Linked DNA regions of Struthio camelus. The protein of the gene in region 1 purifies or fractionates together with the protein of each later gene. This does not show direct contact. Links are inferred from orthologs where the notes say so. Each region holds a gene or a part of one and is shown on either strand. Other genes may lie near its edges.

Region 1 (11,317 bases):
TTGTCAGCAGGGAGCAGAGTTGGGATGGTGACTAATATCTGACTTGCCAGTTGGCCACAAAAACCCTTCCTTTGTACAACAGTTATCTGCACAACAGGTGCAGCTAACCATGAAATCTTCTGTATGGTGTGATCTACTTTGGCGGAGTGGATCCACATATGACAAAACCGAGGGTTAATGCACAAAGGGAAACGGCTGCAAGGTAGCTCCCTTAACTTAAAGGAATGCAAAGCATGTGGTGAAAATGCTTCTTTTCAGAGCAATGGAGTGGGAAGGCTTTGAAAATAAACTATAAATGCAAATATTCAGGAAGTCACCGGACTGAAAATCTGCAAGATCTAATCTCATGACAATCAAATGTTAATTTCTAATCATACATGATTTTAAGCAAAACACTTGGCATGAACTAGGTTGTACAGCATGTGTTCATACCTTTAGGATAAACATCTTCTGCCTCAAGTAGAGAACAAGAGAGTTTATAAAGAAGTTGATTTTTTCCACGAACAATCTGATATGTTTGCCAGCACACTCCATGGGGGAGAAAAGAAAATCACATGACAAATTATAATCTAAGATTAGTAAAACCAGGTGAAAGCTGAAAATTAACAAGAAACCAACTGAATGAGCAGTACACTTGAGTGGGGAGTGGAGGGTTTTTTTTGTGAGAACAGATTATTCCGGTTGAAAGCAACTCTCCATTTATGCTATAACCTATTTCAGAACAAGGTTTAAAAACAGATTCCCTCCCAGTTTTGTAGTATGTGCAAAAAGGCAGGGATATTGTGTTGCTTTTTTTATTGTGTTGCTCCTCCTTTAGGGGGAGTGTGGCTCTTTCACACAGATATATTGTCTTCACTTATTCTCTGATTTAAGGCTGTCAGAGGCCCTCCTCACTGGAGCACACAAGGCTAGGATTTTCAAAGTAACCTACACTTCCAGCTAAATGTCATTAATCACACACGTAATGCTTCAAAAACGGCTTAGCATTTGCAGATACCAGAACTGTACTCCCCCACTAACTTCCTTTGCTAAGACAGAACACGTTCTACCAAAGAAAGCATCACACCTGCACGCTCCTAAGCCTCACCTACAGAAAACTGTCCAGAGATAGAGCTCTTCTTTCACCAAAACACTGACACATTCCAGAATAACCCCAAAGGAATTGGAACTAAGCTGAACCTCTTCTTTGCTCCATCAGTGTGGCCATCTCAAATTTTATTTCAAGTGGAAATCAGGGAAAAATACATCCACCAAGAAATAAAAGAACAACCACTTTTAAGATAGCAAGGCCTCCAGAATGAGGCATACTGTGTTATATACAGACTGTTTGGACTGGGGCAGAAATCATTACAATTTATCAGCCTTTTTTAAAGCTATCTTCTACTCAGTGTTCTTTCATTATGGGACATGTATAACAAATATGTTCTATCAATTCACTAGAAAGGAAGCTTTGAGAGACATCCTTCTAGGCCGCTTAAACCTGAAATAACTTCTGACACGGACACTTCTAGTCTGCAATCAAGGCAAATTCTACTTTTATGCCCCTAAAAAGCCCACGTTTTTTGAGAGACATTTATACTAAAGGAAAGTTTCAAGCAGCTATTTAATCACAACTCAAGATTTATTTGGGAATGTGCTTGACTCAACTGCTAATTATTAATGCCATTTTTGTTTGGAAGTTGGCTCCTTCCCATTCCTACTTTTGGATCCTTCAGTGAAATCGTAAGGCTGAGCTGTGACGTCCTTTTCACTGCCACTGCAAGGCTGATGTCACAGAAACGGATATGTCAAAGGTACTGAAAAAGACACTTGGTCTGGGGTTTGCTTTAGCCATTCTTTAACTAGCACAACAAAGCCTGGCTACCAAAGGAGCAAGGCAGAGGGCAATACCTGGCTCAGCACAGATGAGAACCCTCACACTGACCTCTCTAGGTCTTCCGATTGCAGCTGAACAATTACAGATTTAAAAAATGCCCCTGAAAAAATTCTGGCATGCGCTTAACTTTACTACCAAAAGATGCTCTGGTCTCCACGGAACTGTTCACAGTACTAATGTTAAATACATGCCTCTATTTTTGCGTGATTAAAAAGGTAATCGCTAGCAAATCTGGAGTACTAAAAATGGTTCTGCCTAACTAAAAAAGGGACAAGAGTAGCAAGATACTAGAAAAAGAAACCCCAACCAAGTTTAGAGATTTGACTCCTCTTGCTAATATTTAACTATATAATAAAAACGTATATTCACTTTATGAAATTGCTTAGCCATTCCTCTAAACTTGGAAGTACAGTCCCTTAGCACTTCTGACATTAGAGCAGTTCCTGGGTCTTTCATACAGTTATACTACACTCCCTCAAAAAGCAGAAAACTAACCTAAAATTTTCCAACAGCCTACTTTTTTTCTATTTCATCTGCCCTTTCCAACTCATCCTGACATGCATAAAAATTGCTTATGACACTAATCAGCAGCTGACAGTGAAAAACCATTTGGGATTTTGATCGTATCAAGAGTGGAAGTATAAAGCACAGCATGTATGTACATTTAGTAAAATAATTTAGAGGTTTAGCAGAATAAAGCTACTAATTGAATGCATTAGGGAAAAATCCATGCTATGAGGCCCCACTCTTTCTGAACTACCAGAGCTAAAAACTTTTTGGCCAGGCCAGTAATATTTTCAAGCTCTGACGGTGGACCTTTGATGAAAGGAAAAAAAAATGTCAAGCTTTATGACTTCATGGCAAAGTTAAGCTGTAGAAGGTGGATCAGTGGATCATAAGGGAGAAAGGTCCCACTATAAACACTTAAAATAGTAACAGAAAGGCATAAAACTAAAAGACATCACTGGATATTGTTTTATGTTTACTGCAGCATGAAAACCCCTTTCTAAAACACAATAAAATTTGTAACAAAAAGTCCTCTACTTATTTTCTATAACGAGTGCTTGCATTATTTCATAGTCAAGGTTTTAAGCAGATGTATACACTTTTTTTTTTTTTAGTGAATGAATTAAAAACAAGAGGGAAACAAAACAGTACAAATTCACACAACTGTGTTTGTGTGCTTACAGGAAACTAACATCGCTTCTTCCACCCGTGAAAATGTAAACTGGATGAAATACTCCAGGGCAAAAGTGTGTGTTTTTGCTCTACATGAAAGAATAACCTAAGAGTCAAAAATAATATGCTGAGGGGAGAAAATACCAAATACTGTGCATGGTGTTCTTACTTATATTTTGAATCATGTAAAGAACCGTGAGGAACAAACTTGTAAGAACTTTTCATAACACACCTGCTTAACAAAGGAATAACAAAAAGAAAAGTAGAAGAAAATCCAGGACACTAAAGAGATTCTTACAAACTGGGTGCTTACACTGTACGTTGCTATTTGTCCTGCTTAAACTTCTCTAATTATCAAATATGAAACTGTACATGGGGATGGGGGAAAAATGTGTGATGACATTTGGGAAACAGTGCTTTCTTTGCCACCTTTTTTTTTTTTTTACACACTTCTGAGTTTGTTAACAAAACTTTTTAACAACTTTTCTGTTTTATGGGCAGACCTGCACCCAGGGGTAGCCTGTTTACTGTCAACGTAATGGAATGAGGATGGAGTTTGTAGACAAAGTAATGGATCCACATCCTATGTCTAGATGGCACCAAGGGTCAGAGTGGTATGACTTTTACTGAGGTATCTCAGTGCTACTTCACCAGGAAACGTCACAACAGACATATTTTGGAGTAAATTGTGTGCTTTTGTGACTTTTTTTTTAAACACTCACACTGGCAGGGTGCACAACTCTATATCAGTCAAGTCATTACAAAGGGGGAGAATTCTGCTTGGTTTGTACACACATTGTATTAACTCATTCCTTACATGAAACGTATCCTAAAGATGATCTCAGGACGTTTTTTGGTGCGGGGGAAAGAAACAAAAAGGTATAATTTAATTATTCAATAAAAGAGAATACTTACCAACCCAACCCTGCATCATAGGAAAAACAAAACTCCTTAGAGACAAAGGCATGCTAATGTATAAAAGCAGCTCTCTGTACCGCACACCTGCCTTCCAGGGGAGTGGGAAGGGGGCAAACCTCTCTTTTTTTTTCAGACAAACATATATGATTAAGCTGTTTATTTTTGTGCACTACACAATACTTTCTGGCTATAGGGTTTCCAATAAAAAAGTGCTAATAAAGTCTAATAAAGGAAACAGCTGAAGTTATGTTTTGGGGGGAGGGAGAAGGTGCTTTACATACATCTCTGAGGAAAAGAGGAAAGAGGGTTTCCTGGGGGATTTTAAACTTTTCAATACCTTGACATAATGGGACCACTTGAGATTCCAGCTGTGGAAGTGAGTCTTTCTATATAAAGGGGACGAGGGAGGGCAAACAAGGGTATCACTACTCAACACATCCCATACCATGCCAGTGCCTAGAAAGCTCCACATTGCAACCCCAGCGCCTTTCTGCCCAGGCCGCACTCCCTAATGCCCCAGCATAGCCAGGAAATTTTAAGAAGCAGCTGAAGACAAAGGGGACATTAATGAGGCCAGTGCTGCCCAAGAGAATAACGTCATTAAAGACCTCATTAAGGACCCCAGAAAGCCTTCCCCTGACCCTGCCCAGCAAGTGGGGACCCATCCCCTCGCAGCCACCCCCAGCCCAGGCTCCCTGCTCCGGCCCTCAGCCCCAACTGGGCCTGCTGCCCACCAGCCCCTGGCCTGCTCCCTCATCACGCCCCGCTGCCTGGGGCCCCCCGGCCCTGCGCTGCCCCCGGCCCCGCGCCCCCACCGGGCCCCTGCCTGAGCCCCTTCCCCTGGCTCTTCCCAGCCTCGGCCCCCTCCCCCCGGCCGCCTGGCTCTTCCCAGACCCGCTCCCCCCCCCCAAACCCCCTGGCTCTTCCCAGATCCTCTCCCCCCCGGCCCCTTCGCTGTTCCCAGGCCCTGCCCCCCCCCGCCCAGACCCCCGGCTGTTCCTAGGCCCTGCCACCACCCCCCCAAGTCCCCCGGCTGTTCCCAGCGCTGCGCTCCCCCCCCCCCCAGCTCGCTGCCTGGCCCCAGCCCTCGCTCTCGCCCCTCTCCTCCTCCTCGGCCCGGGCCCTGGGGACCCCCCGAGCGCTCCTGCACACTCTCGCCCCCAGCCCTGCGCCCCCCGGCCGGGCCTACCCCCCTGCCCGCCTCGGGCCTGCACCCCGCTAAGCCCTGGCTCCCCCGCTCACCTCAGACCCTGTCCCCCCGCCCGGGCCGGTGGCTCTCGGGCCCCGAGGACCCCCCCGCCCCGGCTGGCCCCCCACCTCCTCCCGGTCGCCCGCGGCCCGTCCCTGCCCGCCCCCCCCCAAACCTGGTCCGGCGAGCCGGACAGACAGACACAGACAGACAGAGAGGCTCTCGGGAGAGGCGGTTACTGGACCTTTCGTCCGGGCCGTGGTGGAGTTGGAGCGGCGGCGGCGGCCGGGGGAGGCTGCAGCTGCCGCTGTCGTGGTGGTGGCAGGACGGAGATGGGGGGGTGGAGTGCGGGCTGGGGGGGGAGGCGGCGGCGGCGGGGGGGACACTCGGGCTCTCCACGGCCATGGGCGGGGGGGGAGAGGGGGGAGCACACGGGGCACAGTCACTGTACAGAGCGGGGGTCGGCACGGCCCGGCTTTCCGCCTGCCCCGCACTCCACGGGAAGGCACACAAAATGGCGCCCGCCGGCACGCAGCCGCGCCGAGGCAGCGCCCCACACGGCCGCCGGAAAGGCCCGAGCGCCGCCGGAAAGGCCCGAGCGCCGCCGAACGCCCTCCCCCCTCCCCCTTCGCCGCGGCACGCACGGCCGGACGCGGAAGCAGCCGGAGGTTGCCGAAGGATGGCGGAAGCGGCCGAGCCGAAGCGCCGAGGGGCAGCGGGAGGAGGCGGAACTTTCCGAACGCAGCCGAGCGCTGGCGGAAAGTGCCGAAGAGGTCGGGCAGAACCAAGTGCACCGCGGCGGGAGGGGGGGGAGCTGCGCGAGTGAGCGCGCGAGAGGCGGCGCCGAGGCCGAGCGCGGCGGCCGCCCCCCCCGCGCAGGGGGCCGCTGAGGCGGGACGAGCCCTCGGAGCGGCTCTCTGGCGGGGGGGGATACGGGCGGGGCGCGGGGCGGCGGGGGCCGCTCGGCCCGGGGCGCTTCCCCCCCTCCCCTCCCGGCGCGCCGCGGTGCCGGGCGCCGCGCAGCGCCCGCGCGGGCCGCCAGGGGGCGCCGCCCGGGCGCGGCGGCCGTGAGGCGGCGGCGGCGGGATGGTGGAGAAGGAGGAGGGCGGCCCCGGCGGCATCAGCGAGGAGGAGGCGGCGCAGTATGACCGGCAGATCCGGCTCTGGGGGCTCGAGGCCCAGAAGCGGTCAGCGAGGCGGGGGGCGGCTCGGGGGAGGCTGTAGGGGCCTGCGGGCGGGGGGGCCCTTGTAGGTGTCGGGGGTCCCTCAGCGCTTGGGGGGGGGCGGCGGCATTTGGGGGGGCTGTATTGATTTGGAGGGGCGCTGAATGGGTTTGGGGGGGCTACAGCGTTTTGGAGGCCCCTGCAGCATTTTGGGAGGCTCTGTGGGGGTTTGGGGGCTCTACAGCGGTTTGGGGGGCCCTGCGTGGGTTGATGGGGGCCTTGCAGTATTTGGGGGGGCTCTGCAGGGGTTTGGGGGACTCTACAGTGTTTGAGGAGGCCCTGTAGTGGCTTGGGGGGGCTTGTATGGGTTAAGTGGTCCTCACAGTGTGTGGTAGGGGCCTGTAGGGGCTTGGGGGGGACCCTAATGCAGTGACCGCAGTTACTGTGGGGTATCTGCAGGAGGTTTGCAGGGGCTTGAGAAGGGTCTGTATAGCTGGTGGTGTGTATGGGGGCATGCGAGGTCTATAGGAGCCTGTGGAGGTCTAGAAGGTCTCTAGAAGTCTCAGGGCTCTGGGGAGCTGAAGAAGGAGGAGATGGGGTTGGGACAGTAGGAGATGGGGGAGGCAAGGCTTGGGGCACCTGGGAGAGGGGTTTGGGGAAATGGGGGCCCCAGGAAGGAAGCTGCCAGTTTGGGAGGCAGTGGCTGGTGTTGCAGGGGGTGGCAGGGTAGCATACGGGGTGGGAAAGTGGGAGGAGGTGCTCAGGGAGATGGTGGCAGAAGGGCAGGAGAAAAACCCTGTGGTGGCCCGGCGTGAGATGTCGATCTTTGTGCTGCTGCTGGCACCCTGAGAGAAGTTTTAAACCTCGTCTGTGGAAATCCTGGGCAGTTGCCCTGCTTGTGCACGCATCACACATGTAGGACAGTGTTGACAGAGATGTGGGAGCCCTGGCTAGCAGCTGCCTGGGAGACTGCTTGGTTCTCCAGCCACACACAGTCGCTGTGCAGCAGGCTGGTGAGAGCTGTAAGCTGTACCCCTTTGTGTGTCCCTAGTTCCTCACAGTTCCTGCACAGTTCAGGCTGGAAAATCTTACCCAAACTGGAGCCCAGTGATAATGCACGTTTGGTGAAAATCGTGCCTCCTTAGGTTGAAGATAACAAAAATATTGACCGTATCTACAAGAGAGTCTGATCCACTACTTAGTTTCTATTGTTAAAGTCTTCTCATTCATTCCCAGCTGGGATTGCCGAGCATCTGCTTCCACCTGCTGGTTCTCTGCTAAAGAGCCTCTTATTCAGCCCATATCTTCTCTGTGAGGCCTCTTCAGCTTTCAAGTTATCTTTGCAGCCCTTTACTGCAGCCTGTCCAGGTTTCTGCCAGCTTTAAATTTCTTAGATGTTACCTTGAAAATAGCAATAGTATGTGTATGGGAGAAGATGGAGCGGACCTGAAATAGGGGCACAAATATAATGGTGCTGCTAGATGCAGAGTGAAAGCAAGCATGGAAATAGACCGTGAGGCCAAAAAGCACCCATCAGTGACCTCCTGACTTAACTGACCTACATGATAGAGCCACTCTATTTAACACTCTGGATGATTACTTATTAAGGTAGTCTAAATAAACTTGATTTTGTTAGAAAAACAATGCAACCTAGTCAATCAAAAGAATGCTAAGGAAAAAATTATTTAAATTGATTTTAAAAAGCAAGGAAAGTCAGCATTCAGCTATTCTGAGAACTTAGAAATTGCATACATTAACTTGGTCTCATAATAAATATTTGCAAAGAAATAATTTCCATTAATTATATCATGCTATTAATTTTATATATATCCCAATCAGTTGGCATGTAACCCAGTGCACCTTCAGTGGGTGAGGTTGAGGTCCAGGCCTCAGCTGGACTATTAGAATTTGCTATTAGGAACCTCAAACTGTGGTGTTGTAGTGAACCTGTGAGTCCACCCCTTGTTCTCTGAAAAGCAATACGAGGCCTTATCAGTGCATACTGATTTTAGTCTCTCTTTCAAAGCTGCAAATAATCTATTTTCTGTGAATTATCTGGATTACTGACGCCCAACAGCTCCCATCTCTCTTCCTTTTCTTCCGTATCAGGTATCGTGGTTAAATCTATACCTCTACTCTTTTCCCTGATGCTGCTGTGAAACTTTCAGGTCCTGCCAGACATGTTTGGCTCTCCTGTAATGATCCTGGGCTTCTCCCATTTTGCCTGGGCCAAGTGAATATTTGGCTGTAGCTCAACTTTCCCCACGGTTCAGGACTTCTGTGAATGCCCAGCATGCATATCTGCCTCCTTAGTTAAGTTTTCCCAACTGGGAGGTGATGGTGATTTCGGAGGCAGTGGTTCCATCCCTGGTGGCAGGGATGCTACTTTACTAGCGCAGCTTTCCTCTTTGGTCATTGAATGTATTTTTCACCCTGTTGTGTTTTGTCCGTGAGCACTGTGGTTGATTCCCCTTCTCCCTGGGGACGTGGTGCTCCAGTGAAGCCGTTAACGGTGACCAAGTGTTTCCACTGCAGGTTACGAGCTTCCCGGGTGTTGCTGGTGGGGATGAAAGGCCTTGGAGCAGAAGTGGCAAAGAATCTCATCCTGGCAGGTGTCAAAGGCCTGACCATGCTGGACCATCAGCAGGTGGGAGCTTCAGGCTTCTCTCTTCCTTGTGGCTGCAGTGCTGGCCAGTGGGGGGTGAGGGGATGGTTAGCAAAGCTCCCAAAGCCTACTGGGGACTGGTAGGTGTGTGGAGGGGGTAGGGTGTCTGAGCTCGAGGACTTCTTCATTGCTTACTGGAGTAGGGGTTTTGTGGTGGGGGTGTGTGTATGTGTATGTCTTTGGGGAGGGGGTATAGGGGGCATGTAGTGTCTGTAGAGAGAAATCCCATACCCGTGCACTTTTAGTCATTGGTGCGCCTCCTTATGACAAGCATGGAATTAAATTTGAGAGAGGCATAAGCAGACTGTACTCATCTGCACTCTGTCAAGCTGAGGGCTGAGCTGCAGGCTCCCCAGTTTCTCCCCTGCTATCTTGCCTGCAGACATGTGGCTGTGTACCCTGATCTGAGAAGCCTGTTCTCATAGTCTCGCGCTTATTTCTGGGAGTGTGTGGCCTTTCTCTAGCAGGTCTCCACCCAGGCCTCTCCCCTCTATCTTGGTCTGAACAGCCCCTTTCTGTGTTTATCTAGGGCTTTGCAGGTGTTTAACAGACTGTAACAGTGTGTGAAAAGCAGCTAGGGCTCCGCTCGTGCCTCGGATCGTGCCTCGGATCGCATGGAACCCGGGCCTCTAAATAGAGTCTGTGGTTGAGCGTTTAGTCTGCCTCTGTCAAATGTGCAGCAGGTTTCTATTCGTGGTCCAGAGCCTTGTGCCCTGCAGTTCACTCTGCTGTCACAGGAGATGGGAGGCCCAGGGATGACTGAAATTGGTAGGTGCCGCACAGCGTACGAAACCCTCCTCTGCGTTTGGAAGAGGCGCAGGCAAGGATGTGTAAGGTGCTCAGGGAGCCTTCAGCAGGGTTTGAGGGATGAGCATTTGAGGGATTTTGTATGCATAGTGTTTCTGGTGCGAGTTTGTGGCAGTACTGGCTGCTCCAGGGCCAGACAGAGCCGGGGGGGGGGGGGTTGTGCAGGAGCCTCAGTTGCGGCTGCTTGTTTTTCCAGTGAGTGCAGCCGCTAGGTCGCAGTGCCGGACTGCTGCAGCCGTGGTGCCCGCTGTGGTAGCTTGGTGTCTCCTCGGGCACAAGAGGGAGCTCTGAGCTCAGGAGCGGGCGAAGTGATCTGCAAGGTCTGAGAATCGGCCTGGGAGCAAGGAGTGCAAAAAATGTGAGGGTGCTGCCTGCTGTTTGTCCTGCCTGTTCCTCTGAAAAGCGGACGTGGAGACCTCTGTTGTTCTTGAAGCAGAGATGAATACTTGGTGCAGTTGAAGGGTTATGAAGGGAGAACACGTAAGGAGGGATCCAAGCGGTCACTGTGCAATAGTATCTGCTGGAATGGTCCCATCTTAAAAACCTCAAATCTGCCCTTCCTTCCTGGAGAAGGCAGTGGTCCTATCCCTGGATCCTTCCTCCTAATGAGACTTTTCTCTGGTTATCTTGCAATGAGCCTTTTAACACTCCTGCTGCAAGGATAGCACTGGTTAGCTGTCCCTTTTCAGCTATGTGAGTTCCCATTTACAATGTATCTGCTGTAATTCTCCTGTGGGTGTTGCTGCCCTGTGTGATTCTGGGAACAGTTAACAGCACAGGGAAGACTCATCTCTCTCCATTTTCTCCTATTTCAGGTTTCTCAAGAGGACACTAGAGCTCAGTTCCTGATCCCTGTGGGTTCCTTGGGCCGCAATAGAGCTGAAGCATCTTTGGAGCGGGCGCAGAGTCTCAATCCCATGGTGGACGTGAAAGCTGATCCTGAGAACGTAGAGAACAAGCCAGAAGAGTTCTTCACCCAGTTTGATGCAGTAAGTGCCATGAGGGGAAAAGGTCAGAGGAAGAGAGACTTAGCAGTTGTTGACTTACCTACAGTTAAGTTGTATTGGTTGGTCTTAAGTTGTCTTGAACTGATTTGACTGAAGTGGTACAAATGCTTGTATGAGTGCTCCTGCATCAGTTTAAAACTGCTACAATTCAGTTGCATGCTGAGTCACCAAGGCACGTTTACATCTGTGAAAATATTTCTTCATGGTGGTTTGTATTGATATGTTGGACTCAGGAAAAAAGCTTTGAACTGGTGCTGGTGTAGCATTGTTGGGAGAGCAGAGACTAAATGGTGAGGGAATAGGAAAAAGAATTTGAGAGCAATCAGAACCATACAGGTCTTGGGACAATACCTCGCTAATTGCTCTTTTTGTTCTGGACAAGAGTGGTTACATTAGCTCAAAGTTTTGGGAGTAAAATATTGGGCTGTGTATCCTTGAGCCTCATGTAGTTGAGTTTCTGCAGAACGGCTTGCTTAGCGTGTGCATGTTTAGCTGCTTCTCAGCACAAGTTGT
Region 2 (11,450 bases), on another chromosome or scaffold:
CAACTACACAGGTGCAGCTACAGCAGCATAAAAACCTGGCGGTAAGGGAGACTACGGAGGAGTAAACAAAAGGGGACTGGAAAGAGCTGAACTGATTAACCAACCTGAGACAACAGTTAGGAAGAAGGAGATGACACCAGACCGATTAGCTGATACTGGCTATGCCAATCCTGATAAATGAAAGGACAGAGAGTGACCCTGGCCCAGAGGCTGTTTCAAGCAGCCTGCGTCCACGCTGCCGAGGGCGGGCAATACAGGTGGCTTGTCTTGGAGGAAGCGAGTTGGACTGACCCAGAACAGAGCCAGCGAGCGAGTCAGCAGTGCTGACAGATGATCAAGAGTGTGCGTGCCTGCCGCTGCAGCGGAGATGCACTCATTAGCTATATGAGTGAAACAGCAGACAAAGAAGGTACAATGTAGTAGCAAATTACTGAGGTATTCTTCAAGCTGAGCCCTTGGATTCATCTTCCTGGCAGTATGCAGAATGCAGAGACACAATACCTTTGAGCTAAGCAACAGCTTAACTAGCCAAAAAAAAAAAAGAAAGAAAATAAGGACTGTACTAAAAACCTGGACAACTTTGCTGTGTTCTAGGATAGACTTGGCTTTTCTCTCTCACACGTTACATTTTACAATTGTAATTTGCTGCTGGCGACTGGACGAACCAGCTGAGTTTGCAAATTTCTCTCTCCACGCTATTTAAAATAGTGTTGTAAAGAATACCCATACATACACATGCATGCTTTGAATTTGAAAAATACCATGACATGCAGCTGACTTTCTTTTTAATTTTTCATTTAACTGGGGAGCAGCAATCCCTTAAAAACCTGAGAATACAGATGGCAATTCCAAAGAGCCAAAGACAAGCAAGCATTAAAGAACATATATAAAGATATTAAGACACATAAGAAATAGACAAAAGAACATTTACCCAAGAGAAGGAAAGTGACTTTTTCATTTTCAGAAAGGTGAAGTTTCCATGGAAGCTGGCAAAAGCAGAAGCATGAAACTTTGCACACAAAACCGTCTGTTTGTAATTTACTATTTAAATACACAAAAAGGAAAACTCCAAGTCTTGCGTATTTTTTAAACAAGCCACCATCACTAAACATAAGTCCAAGTTTAAGGTTAATATAGCCAGCCCACTTGCAAATCAAGCAATATCCCTAAAGTAAAATGGTTTAGGAGATAACTGTCAAGTCTGCTATAAAGAATAAACAAAACACAGGCAACGTCTGTAGGAAGTAACGTCTGTGCCTTGGTTTTAATCCCTACAGGTAGAACAGACACAGCTGTCACACCAAACCAGGCTCACTAATATGTCCACCGAACACTATGGTTAAGCAGGAGTCAAGATGCATCAGTGCTCTCCAGAAAGAGAAATACTGGATTCTTCTATCATACTACGCTTGGAATCCAGAACAGTGACCGTATCACCAAAGCAATTTTAGAAGCTGTAAAGACAGAAGACCCTATTTCCAATCAAAGCCAGTTGGTCTGAGCATAAATAACATGCAATCAATATATACTAAAATACAAGCTAAACGCTTGCTAGAAAACCATTATATCAAACCAGGATTATGAAATTTGCGACCACGAGCCTCTTGTTCCAAATCGAGAGCTGCTGTAGACCCCAACATACGATTTTCTTCTGAAAGCTTTCAGAGCTCGTTGTTAAGCCCTAACAGATGTAGGTAAGCCTCTTGGTTTTATGCTTTGAGCCAATCTATTTTGAAGTTACTTGTTAATACACAGTGGGTCCAAATCACGAGAGTAATTGTTCACACGTTTGGAAATACAAGTGGACTCTCAGCTCCAAAATTATTGTACGTTCATGAAAAAGGAACACTAATTTTTCAAGCTTGTTCCCTATGCTCAAAATATAAACTATAAGGGAGTCTGTTTCAAGGAGAGAACCTTATCCTGTCATTTCTTGGCTAAGCACAGCTGTTTAAACTAGCCTAACACATTTAGAAATGGAAGTACCCTCAGATGGGCTTGCTTGTATGGGCTATTAAGGTACAGCAAAGCACAGCAGACCAGGCAAGCGCATACTTAAAGTGCAACTAAACAAAGTTGCACTTTTAATTCTATCAGCTGAGCTCCTAATAAAAGGAATGAAAACCCCCAAATGTTGCCACTGTTACACTGAGAAAAGTTCTACCATTTAGGCCATCCTCTGCTGAAGTAGGACTCATTATACTGAAACCCAGCAGGCAGAAAACTGCCTTCTGTCAGCCCTTAGATTCATTAGGAATGATATATATAAGAAGGTGAGAGATCCAGACCCTTGAAACATTGGTTTGTTTAAAAAAAAAAAACAGGAAAAAAAGGAAAAAAAAACTAACTATTGGCCAGAATCTGTCAAACTCCACCACATCACAACAATAATCATTCACAGATTCAATTTTTCATCTCCACATGAATCTCCTGTAGAGAAGTAATTCACAGCTAAAACTTTCTAAGATGAGAAAAAAGCGTGCCCCGCATCCCTAGACATCTCTAAAAACCACATTTATGGTTTTAAGTCAATTGATAGTACACGAGCAACTTTCAAATTAATTTTGCAGCCGCTAGAGAAACGCATTCTGAAACATGGGTTACCTTGCTGAAAATGCTCTCATTGCCCTGTAACACAGACGTAAAAGATCGATGGTCTATTACTGCAAACTTCATTGAAACAAATCCTTTCACTGTAAAGCATACATCAGGACTAGACGGAGATAGGAATGAAAGGACCAAAAGCCTTCCAACCCATCAAATTGCTCTTTACAAGTTGGAAAGGGGAAGAAGAATCAATAGTATCTGCATTAACATCACTCAGCCCTTCTACTACTGTATGTAATTAGGATCTAGACTACTATCCATAGCAGATAGCATTCATATTATGTTACCTATTCTTATATAAATAAAAACTAACTCCTCTCAAATCAAAGCTCACTGCATCAGGGAGTGGCAAGAATGTTAATTTGTAAAGCAAGCAAACTAAACAGAAGTATAAAACAACATACAACAACAATTCTACAAAATAAAGAGAATAAGCAGAATGCATTCTTTCCAACACAGCAAGCGCAATGTCTTGGTCTGCTTGAAAACAGCAAAACGACTAGGAATACCAGGCTTACTGTAAAACTTATGCAACACTGACACCTCTGTCTCCTTCTTCTCCCTAAGCAATTTATTTTCCACTCCTGTATTGCTGTGCTGCCCCATTCATTCTCTCTCCTACAAACTGCATCCTCTTTTTCTTTTATTTGATATGTGAATGTCACGCTGCCTGCTTGCATCTCCCCAAGACTTTCCAAAAAACAAAAGCCCCCACAAAACTCAAAAGTGCATCTCCACAACAACAGGAAAGTTAAAACTTAAACACAACTTAAAAGAACTTAAATGAGCCAAACACATACTTGTGCCAAACACACAACGACTTACATGCAAAGAAAAGCTGTGATTGCAACATTCTCAATTTTTAAAATCATTATTACATGATGCACCAAAGGGCCAAGTCTCTTTGGTTTCCCAAGCTCAATTCCAGGCCCAGTAACCACCCCTCTATGGCACATTAGAGCTTTTACTGAAAATCAATACTGTAAACATGCAAATACATTTTTTAAGCAACTCTGAATTATCCAAACACCAAGTTTTTAATGGAATAATGACATCATTGGCTCAGTTTGGTCCAACTCTTACAGAAGAAGAAATGTCTTCTTTTGCAGACATTCCGAGACACAACCTACAAAAGTTACTGATTGCCTTGTCTGCATATTTGCATCCCCTGATCGACCAAGAGAACCATATTTCAGGGGCTGTGCGAATTACTGCTTTTTATCCAAAAGATGGGACGAGGATTGCATGAACAGTGAAAGAAGATAACTGCACAACTCTGTTCAATGAAAAATAAATACCTCTTAATTCATTAATAATTCATTAATAACGTCAAATAAGATCAATCAGTAAACATCTTAATTGATTCAATATGAATTTAGACAATTTCTGAAGATGCATGTAAGTCACATACGTATCTTAACTGCACTTCATAGATGAAGAGGTGACTAGAAAAAAATTAAGATTTAAAGCACAGAGAATCACCTTTACCCACAACACTCCCAGGTATCATTTAGAAACTACGTTTTAATGAAGACGTCACAGAGCTTCTGAAAGTTATTCTGGACACATACCATGCCACCCTCATCTTTAAGTTTAAGTACTTAACCAAGAAGCCACAGTTGGACTAACTACTTAAAATGGCACATCTGCACATTGCTCACCGCAACTGCCTCTATTTCACTTACTGAGATTTAAACCCAGACCAGCCTGAGAAGTCAGTTTGCCCACCCGTGACAATACCGAGGCCTAGACCTGCCACCAGATTCAAAATCCTCACCTTAAGCAATATTCATTCCTCGTAGCTAGGAAAACGCTCCAACACCCAATTACCATCAGTAGCTCTGGCCTAGCGAAGGGAGCGAGCAAAGACAAGCAGACAAACCTGACAGGACTGTGGTGCTCCCACCTCCGCGCCCCACCTTAAGCGTTTATAAATATTTCCTGTCACGCACTGCTGCCCGTCTACCCACGAGCTTAAATTTAGCCCGAGAACAAGAAAGAAGAAAGGACATCACCCAAGCTCAGCAGCCGGCGGGCAGAGAGCGGCCACCGCCGGCCGCCCCGGGGAGCCCCATCCCGCACGGGGGGCGGCGGCGGCGCCGCCGAGGGCCCGGGCCCGCACTCACTTTCCCTCCTGGCAGTCGTAGAGCACGATGGAGTCGTCGTCGCTGCTGGAGATGACGGTCTCGCCGTTGGGGCTGAAGTCGAAGCAGTTGATCTTGTCCGAGTTCTCGCGGAAGACCTTGGCCACGCGGAAGCTCCGCAGCACGTTGTCCGTTAGCTTCATGCCGCCGCCGGGCCGCGCCGAGGGCGGCGGCGAGCCGGGCGGGGCCCCGCGGCGGCGGCGGGCGGCGGCCGGGCGCGGCGCGGCGCGGCCCGGCCCGTCGGCTTGGCGGGGGTGGGGGGCGGCGGCGGCGGGGGGGGGGGGGGCGGCGGGCCGGGGCGGGCGGGGGGCGCCCTCCGGCGGGGCTCGGCCCGGTCAGGCCGCGGAGAGGCGGCTCCTCCTCATTGTGTCCGCCATCTTGCTGCGCCGGGAACGGGCGGGGGCGGCGCGCGGGGCACTGTGGGATGGAGGGCGGGAAGGGGGGGGCGCGCCGCCGCGGGGCGTTGTGGGAAGGCGGCGGGCCGCGCGCGCGGCCTGCTGGGATAGAGAAGGGCACGGAGGTGGGGGCTGGCGGCCATGTTGAGTGTGGCAGCAGGGGCGCCTACCCTCCCGCCGTGGGGCGGCTGTCGCCCTCCCCCTGGCCGGCGGGGCCCGGGGCGGGACGGGACAGGCCGGTGTAGTCCTAAGCACACAGGGTCCACGGGCTGAGCCTTGCCTTCAACGCCAGGGTCCCCCAGGCCGCGCGAGGGGCGCAGGCAGCCTGCGCCTGGGGGGACAGGGACACCCCGGGGCGGGGGGGGGGGGTGGCCGCAGGCCGCAGGCAGGGCCGGCGCAGCCGGGGTGTGGGCCTGGCTGCCCGCGGGGAGGGGGGGGGGCAGCTCCTCTGTGCCCCGGGGCTAACGTCCACCCCGAACCGGGGGCAACGCGTGGGCCGGGGGGGGGAGGGGGGCTGGCATCGCGCCCCGCTGGGCCTGCCCCGCGCACCCGGCCCGGCGGCGGCCCCAGGCGTCCGCGCCGCCGGGGGAACGTCACTTCCCGCCGCGCTCGGCCGGCCGGCCGCCTCGAGCCGCAGGTGGGCCGCCGCCGCCGGCACCGGGAGCGCCGGGCAGGCCCGGGCAGCGCGTCCCGCTCCGCTGCCCGCAGCCCGGCCGCCTGCTGCGCCCCGGCTCGCCTGCCGGCCTCGCGCAGCTGCTCTGCTACAGGGGAGCGCTGCTGCGCCGCGGCCGGCCCGCCGCCCGCTTCGGCTCGCCCCCCGCCGCCTGAGACCGTGGCGCCTTACGCGCCTCCCCCCCCCCACTTCTGCGGGGGTGCAGCTCCCATCGCGCGCCGGACGTGATGGCGGGTTTCGGGCCTGGCGCCGCCTCAAAAACATAAGGGAAGCTGCTGTGGCAGTGTGGGTTTTGCGGGTGAAACAGGTGCAAAGCGAAGGACGGTTAGCGTGGCGGCTTCAGCAGCGCGCCTCGACGTTTGTCCAGAAAAGCCGCGACAAAGTTTTACTCCACGAATAACCTGCCGCGTTCGCTACCGGCCATGTCTTTCGCTAGGGGTTTTGTTCCGTTTTGCTCTGCCCGCTGCTGGTGAGGAAACGGGAGCGAGGGTGCTCGGGGTGGGCTGCAGCTGCGGAGCCTGTACCCCGGCCCCAGCGCTTCCCGCCAGCTCCCCGCGGTGACCGAACGGGAGCGCTTCTCCTCAGGCCTCCTGCTCTGGAGTGAGCAGGACGCGGCTCTACCCCGCAGCGCGCTTCCTTAGCCTTGAGGCTTAGCTCCCATATTTATCTGCACCCGCTGTGAGAGTCAGACCCCCTTTCCTTTAAAATGCACAGTGATGATGTTTTTTCTCATTCTTCTGTTCTGTTTCCAGTTAAAGTGTTATAGACATTGTCTTATTTCCCACGATTTTTTATTCTCCGACCTGGCCTCCCCGCACTATTGCAGAAATGCTAGTGCTATACCAACGGACGGCGTAGGACTTCAGATGGGGATGAGCGGCACAATCTCCAGGGGCTTCCGAGATGTCTTGGGTGTTGCGGCCTGTGCTCCTGTAAAAAGGCAGTGGAATTGCTTTCTTGCTCTCGTGAGTCGTGATGTCAGGTTTTATGATCATGTTTTCAGACTTCTCATATCTTAAAGAATTGTTCTTGGAGTATAGCAATAGCTGTGAGAATCTTTAAAATTCCCCCATTAAAATTTCCAGCAACCCGGTATTTTAATTTTAGGAGAACAGCCAACCTTTCATTACTTGTGTCCCCAAGAAGCTTAGAACCGAAAGAAAGAAATGTCAACCCTAGATGCCTTTGTACATGTTAACTGCATTTTCCTTTCTTAGTCCCCAGAACAGAGTTTGCTTTTAGAATAATATTGCCCTCCTGTGGTCAAACAACAGCATGTCTGGGAAGTATCGTCAAAGGTCTGTTTAAATGTCATTGGAATAGAGTTAATTATTTCGTGTGCATATAGCTCATTTCCTAAAACAAAAGTCTTTTCTGTGCTTACTTGCTCTTACAGTTTCTTTATTACAGCTCACCGTTACAGATTTAGATCGCTTCCGGTCCAATTCACTCTTTTATATTCTGATCAGACTGGCCGGCCGGAAGGATTCAACAAGCTTTACTCTGAAATGAATACACGATTTTAACACTGGCGTCCACGAAGACTCAACAAAAGACACCTTCATTACTTCGGAAGGCCTCCGGGTCAGCTACCCCATTACAGGTCAGCTCAAAACCTAAAATATATTTTCATGTAAGGAAAGATTAAGTTAGAGAGGTGCAGAACAGCATTCCTCCTGCACACTGCAAATTATAAGATCAAAGCCTGGATTATCTCATGTGGGCCCAGCAGATGACTCATCGATACCATCATAAGACAATTTACTTCAAAACACCTACAATACTTAGCCAAGTTTTAGAGTTGTATAACACTGTGGGTTGTTGATTTGATATTTTGTCACTCCCTTTTTATTCTTTCTTCTGCCTTTCTTCCTAATCATTGGAACTTAGTTTGTCAGTTTATACAAAGCTGGAATTCATCTGGCAGGATAATTGGACCTTCTAGCAAAATGTCACATTATGTAGGAATTATGGAGAGTGGCCCTGCAAAACTAGTTAATAGAAAAGAGGTTTAATTGCTACTTGACTAATATTGATCAAATGCAGTGATGCTACCTATGCATTTATATGTTACCTACCACTGTAACCTGACCTGCGCAATACAAACAGTCCCGTGTTTGCATTTGCTCAAATGAATAGACATGAATTTCAGTGAGATGCTTCTGCTGAAACAACGCTGCTCAGGTGAATGCTTTTTTGTTGGACTCTGCTGTGGGTGATGATTCTCTGTGAGTGACGGGGTTTGAAGGCTTGTGTGGAAGGCTTGTGGCGCACAACTTGGCACCTCTTTATGGGCTTTTGAAAATAAGCATGAGGCTCTGGATCATCCAACCCTGTCCTTGCTGCTACATCACAGAAGTGTTGGTAAAAGGGACTTCCGGAGGTCCCTAGTCCACCCTTCTGCTCAGGGCAGGACTATCACTAAGGCAAGATCAGGCTGGCCATAGTTTTGTCTAGCCAAGTCTTTAAAACCTCCAAGGAGGGAGACCACGACCCCTCTGGGTAGCCATGTCCATAGCATGACTGACTTGCAAGGAGAGCACACTGGTTGCTCATATTCCCCTTGACGTTCATCCAGACCCCCTCTCTCCTTGTCAGCAGGGCTGCTACTCAGCCAGTCGGTTCCCAGTCTGCCTTAATGCCTGGGGGTCCTGCCCCAGCTGCAAAACTTCTCACTTCTCCTTGCTGCACATCACGAGGATTCTGTTGGCCCTGTCCTCGAGTTTATCACGGTTCCTCTGGCAGGTTGTTCCACCATTCAGTGTGTCAGCTACTCCCCCCAGTTAGTGTCATCCACAAAGTTACTGAGGATGCACTCTGTGCTATCTCCAGAAGCTTATCCCACCAAAGAAGCTGTGGGAAGCACGGACCCCCAGTATGGACGCAGGGCTTCCCTGTTCGTTACCGGCTGCCAGCTGGACACTTGAGCCACTGATTTCTACCCTCTGAGCCCAGCGGCTGAGCTGGTTTTTAGCCGGTCTAGCAGTATATTTGCCCAATTTCTTCAGCTTGCTAATGAGAATGGTGCCACAAACCTCACTGAAGTCAAGGTAGATTACATCTGCCACTCTCCCCTTGTTCCCATAGCCAGTCACCTCAGCCTAGAAGGCAGCTGTAATTGTAATCCTGTGACTGATTAATATTCCTGGCTCTTTCTCCTCTTATGTCATTTCCAGCTGAAGAGCTCATACATTTTTGCTATTAATCCCAAAGAGCATGACCTTGTATTCTGCAGTACTGAATTTCGCCCCCTTTCTATTATTCCAGTCGTCAAGGCTGGCAACTTTTCATCTTCTCTAGAATGCTATGATCCTCCTCTGTATTTTAAATGACTGTCAACTTTGACTGCAATTTGACTCGGAATAGGGAGCTTGAGGAATTGCAGCATGAAAGGAAGTAGACTTGGCACGGACTTGGCTTCAGGGTAGTACTGTTCCGCACTGAACTACAGAAGGATTTTTCTGGTCAAAATTTTTTCTTCCCCACAATCCCCAGCACATGGGAAAATCATTTTCAAAAGGTATATAGGGAGTGAAGGGAGTGTGACCTAGAAAAACTAGTAAGAGGCATATGTCAAATGTAGTTAATTTTTTTTGCTAATGATGCTGATCTATATATATAAAAAATGCTGAGCAGAACACTTATCTTCCCTGTGTTTGGCCTTAGGCTACATTCCCCATCAAAGGCAAAGAGACCTTGTTGACACTTTCCTGGTGAGCAAATCAGTCATGAGAGCAACATATTTCTTCTCCAAGAAACATACAGAAAACAGTGTATTGGAAATTAGGACTCCTGGGTTTCCAGAGCTCAGCATATTCTCGAACAAAGATACTCGGACTCCATCCTTTCTCTCTTGCTGGCCTAGCAAACCTGCTATGGAGCTCTCTGCTCTAATGGTACCACTTCTGCCCACCGTCATCCTCTTTCCCAGTGACCGCTGCAGGAGTGCCACGGTGAACAGAGGGGAAAGCCCCTGCACACCCGCTCGTGCACGGGACTCGTCGCATCTGAGCGGTGATCAGTTGGTCCCTCCCACCTGCAGATATTTTATCTTTTACAAAGTGTGAATGAGACAGTGTGGTAATTTTATGCAAATCCATGTGCGGATTAAAAAATAATCAAATTCTAAGATTTTTATTTGAAGAGATTAGTCTTGAAAAATCCCCCATCTAATCCTCCTAGAATAGTCACTTAGAACAAACCTTCATCTTCTTGTTTTCCTCCTGGGTCCTGTGCATCTCCCGGCAAACTTTCTCATAAATGCTTTTGGGACCATCTGAGGCAGCAAGTTTGAGTCTGAGCAAGGCTCACCAAGCGAATTAAATTTGATATATCAAGTGATAGAAGAGACGTGTCAGTAAATGGGAACGTGGGAGGTCAGTGCAGTAAAATCTGGACTCTGTTGTACTCCATAGGTAAACTCCCGTGATAATGCATGGAAAATGGAAGAGCTAAGCCTTGATGAGTCTAATGGTAATTTAGATACCAAGAGGCCAGAAGAAAGTCACGTAGCAAGAAAAACGAGTAGCAGGAGACTCTGCTAAGACTTGCTATAACTACTCTTCTACTACTGTAACAGGGATGTAATCTGTCTTCTGCTCAAATTATGCTTGAACAATTGGGGTTTGATCCAATGCCATCTCAAGTGCTTTCTGGTCCCCTCAGAGATTTTTGGGGTCGGCTCTGTACATGGTGGGCCAGCCACCAATCGTTGCCACATTGGGGGAAATCCAGAGAAATCCCAGTGACGATTAGAAGAAACCAACTTAGATCCATGAAGACAGCAGCTAAATTAGACCTCCCGGGACGTTAATATTCAACGTCCGCAGACCTTGCAGCACGTTTGCCCGTGGGGCTATGTGACTGGGTCAGCCTGCAGCAAGCCCGATTGCTTTGACTTCAAAAAAAACCCCCACAAGCCCATAATGCAGACTCTTGAGAAAAAGACCCTCCAAACACAGCTCTGCCCAGCAATGGCAGACTGGCCCCTGGAAGGGAGTATTTTTCTGACTTTCAAATACCTGCTGTGGAGTGAAGGGCTGGCTCATTTTTCTCATTGCATAGGCACAGCCAGCTCGTTTGTGCACTGTCTTCCTCCACAGTGTGAGTCCAGCTTTACGGCTCAGGCTATGCCTCCCTGTGTCCATGCCTTTGGTCTCATGCCACCATCCAATTTACCTGGCAGCTTACCATGTTTCTGCCCCTGGTGCTGGATTGTTCCTGTCTCCTTCTGACTTTGGCTCCTTGCCTGCGGAATTACTTTAATTAAAAAGTTAATGAAAGATAGTGCCAACAAGTGTTTTGCCTATATTTTAGCACACTCCAGCTCCTCTCCCTCCCTCTTTCCCAGAGAAGGTGAAAAATCAGGAGCTAGGTGTTTGCTGCCTTTTGCTGTGGGAGTTAACAGTGGAAGTTACTGCAGACTTAGGAGGAGCCCTGTGAAGAAAGGGCACTCACGCTTATAATGGTAATGCATGCAAACAGGAATGTAGATGGCAAACATTATTCATTAACAACAGCTGAGGGAGTTTTCATTTAAAGGGGATTAATCTAAAACCCTTGCAGTCCTCCTGTCTTTTTGGAACAGGTGATTCTCAGCATCATTTTCCTCCTAAGGTTAATGTGAACTTC

The links.
Region 2: the proteins of ZC3H4 (region 1) and WDR82 purify together in Homo sapiens (affinity purification with western blotting; 4 studies listed by BioGRID and IntAct, with this or other methods). This does not show direct contact. The link is inferred for Struthio camelus from reciprocal best matches to the Homo sapiens genes ZC3H4 and WDR82.

The regions. Positions count from the first base shown.
Region 1 is NC_090957.1:304,823-316,139, reverse strand, and holds the start of ZC3H4 (zinc finger CCCH domain-containing protein 4), read right to left. Parts: upstream 5,900-11,317; 5' UTR 5,568-5,899; coding exon 5,407-5,567; intron 1-5,406. Other genes in the region: SAE1 (SUMO-activating enzyme subunit 1), read left to right, coding at 6,249-6,349, 8,861-8,972, 10,613-10,786. UniProt on the Homo sapiens protein: RNA-binding protein that suppresses transcription of long non-coding RNAs (lncRNAs). LncRNAs are defined as transcripts more than 200 nucleotides that are not translated into protein.
Region 2 is NC_090955.1:22,932,968-22,944,417, forward strand, and holds the start of WDR82 (WD repeat-containing protein 82), read right to left. Parts: upstream 5,148-11,450; 5' UTR 4,895-5,147; coding exon 4,734-4,894; intron 1-4,733. UniProt on the Homo sapiens protein: Regulatory component of the SET1/COMPASS complex implicated in the tethering of this complex to transcriptional start sites of active genes.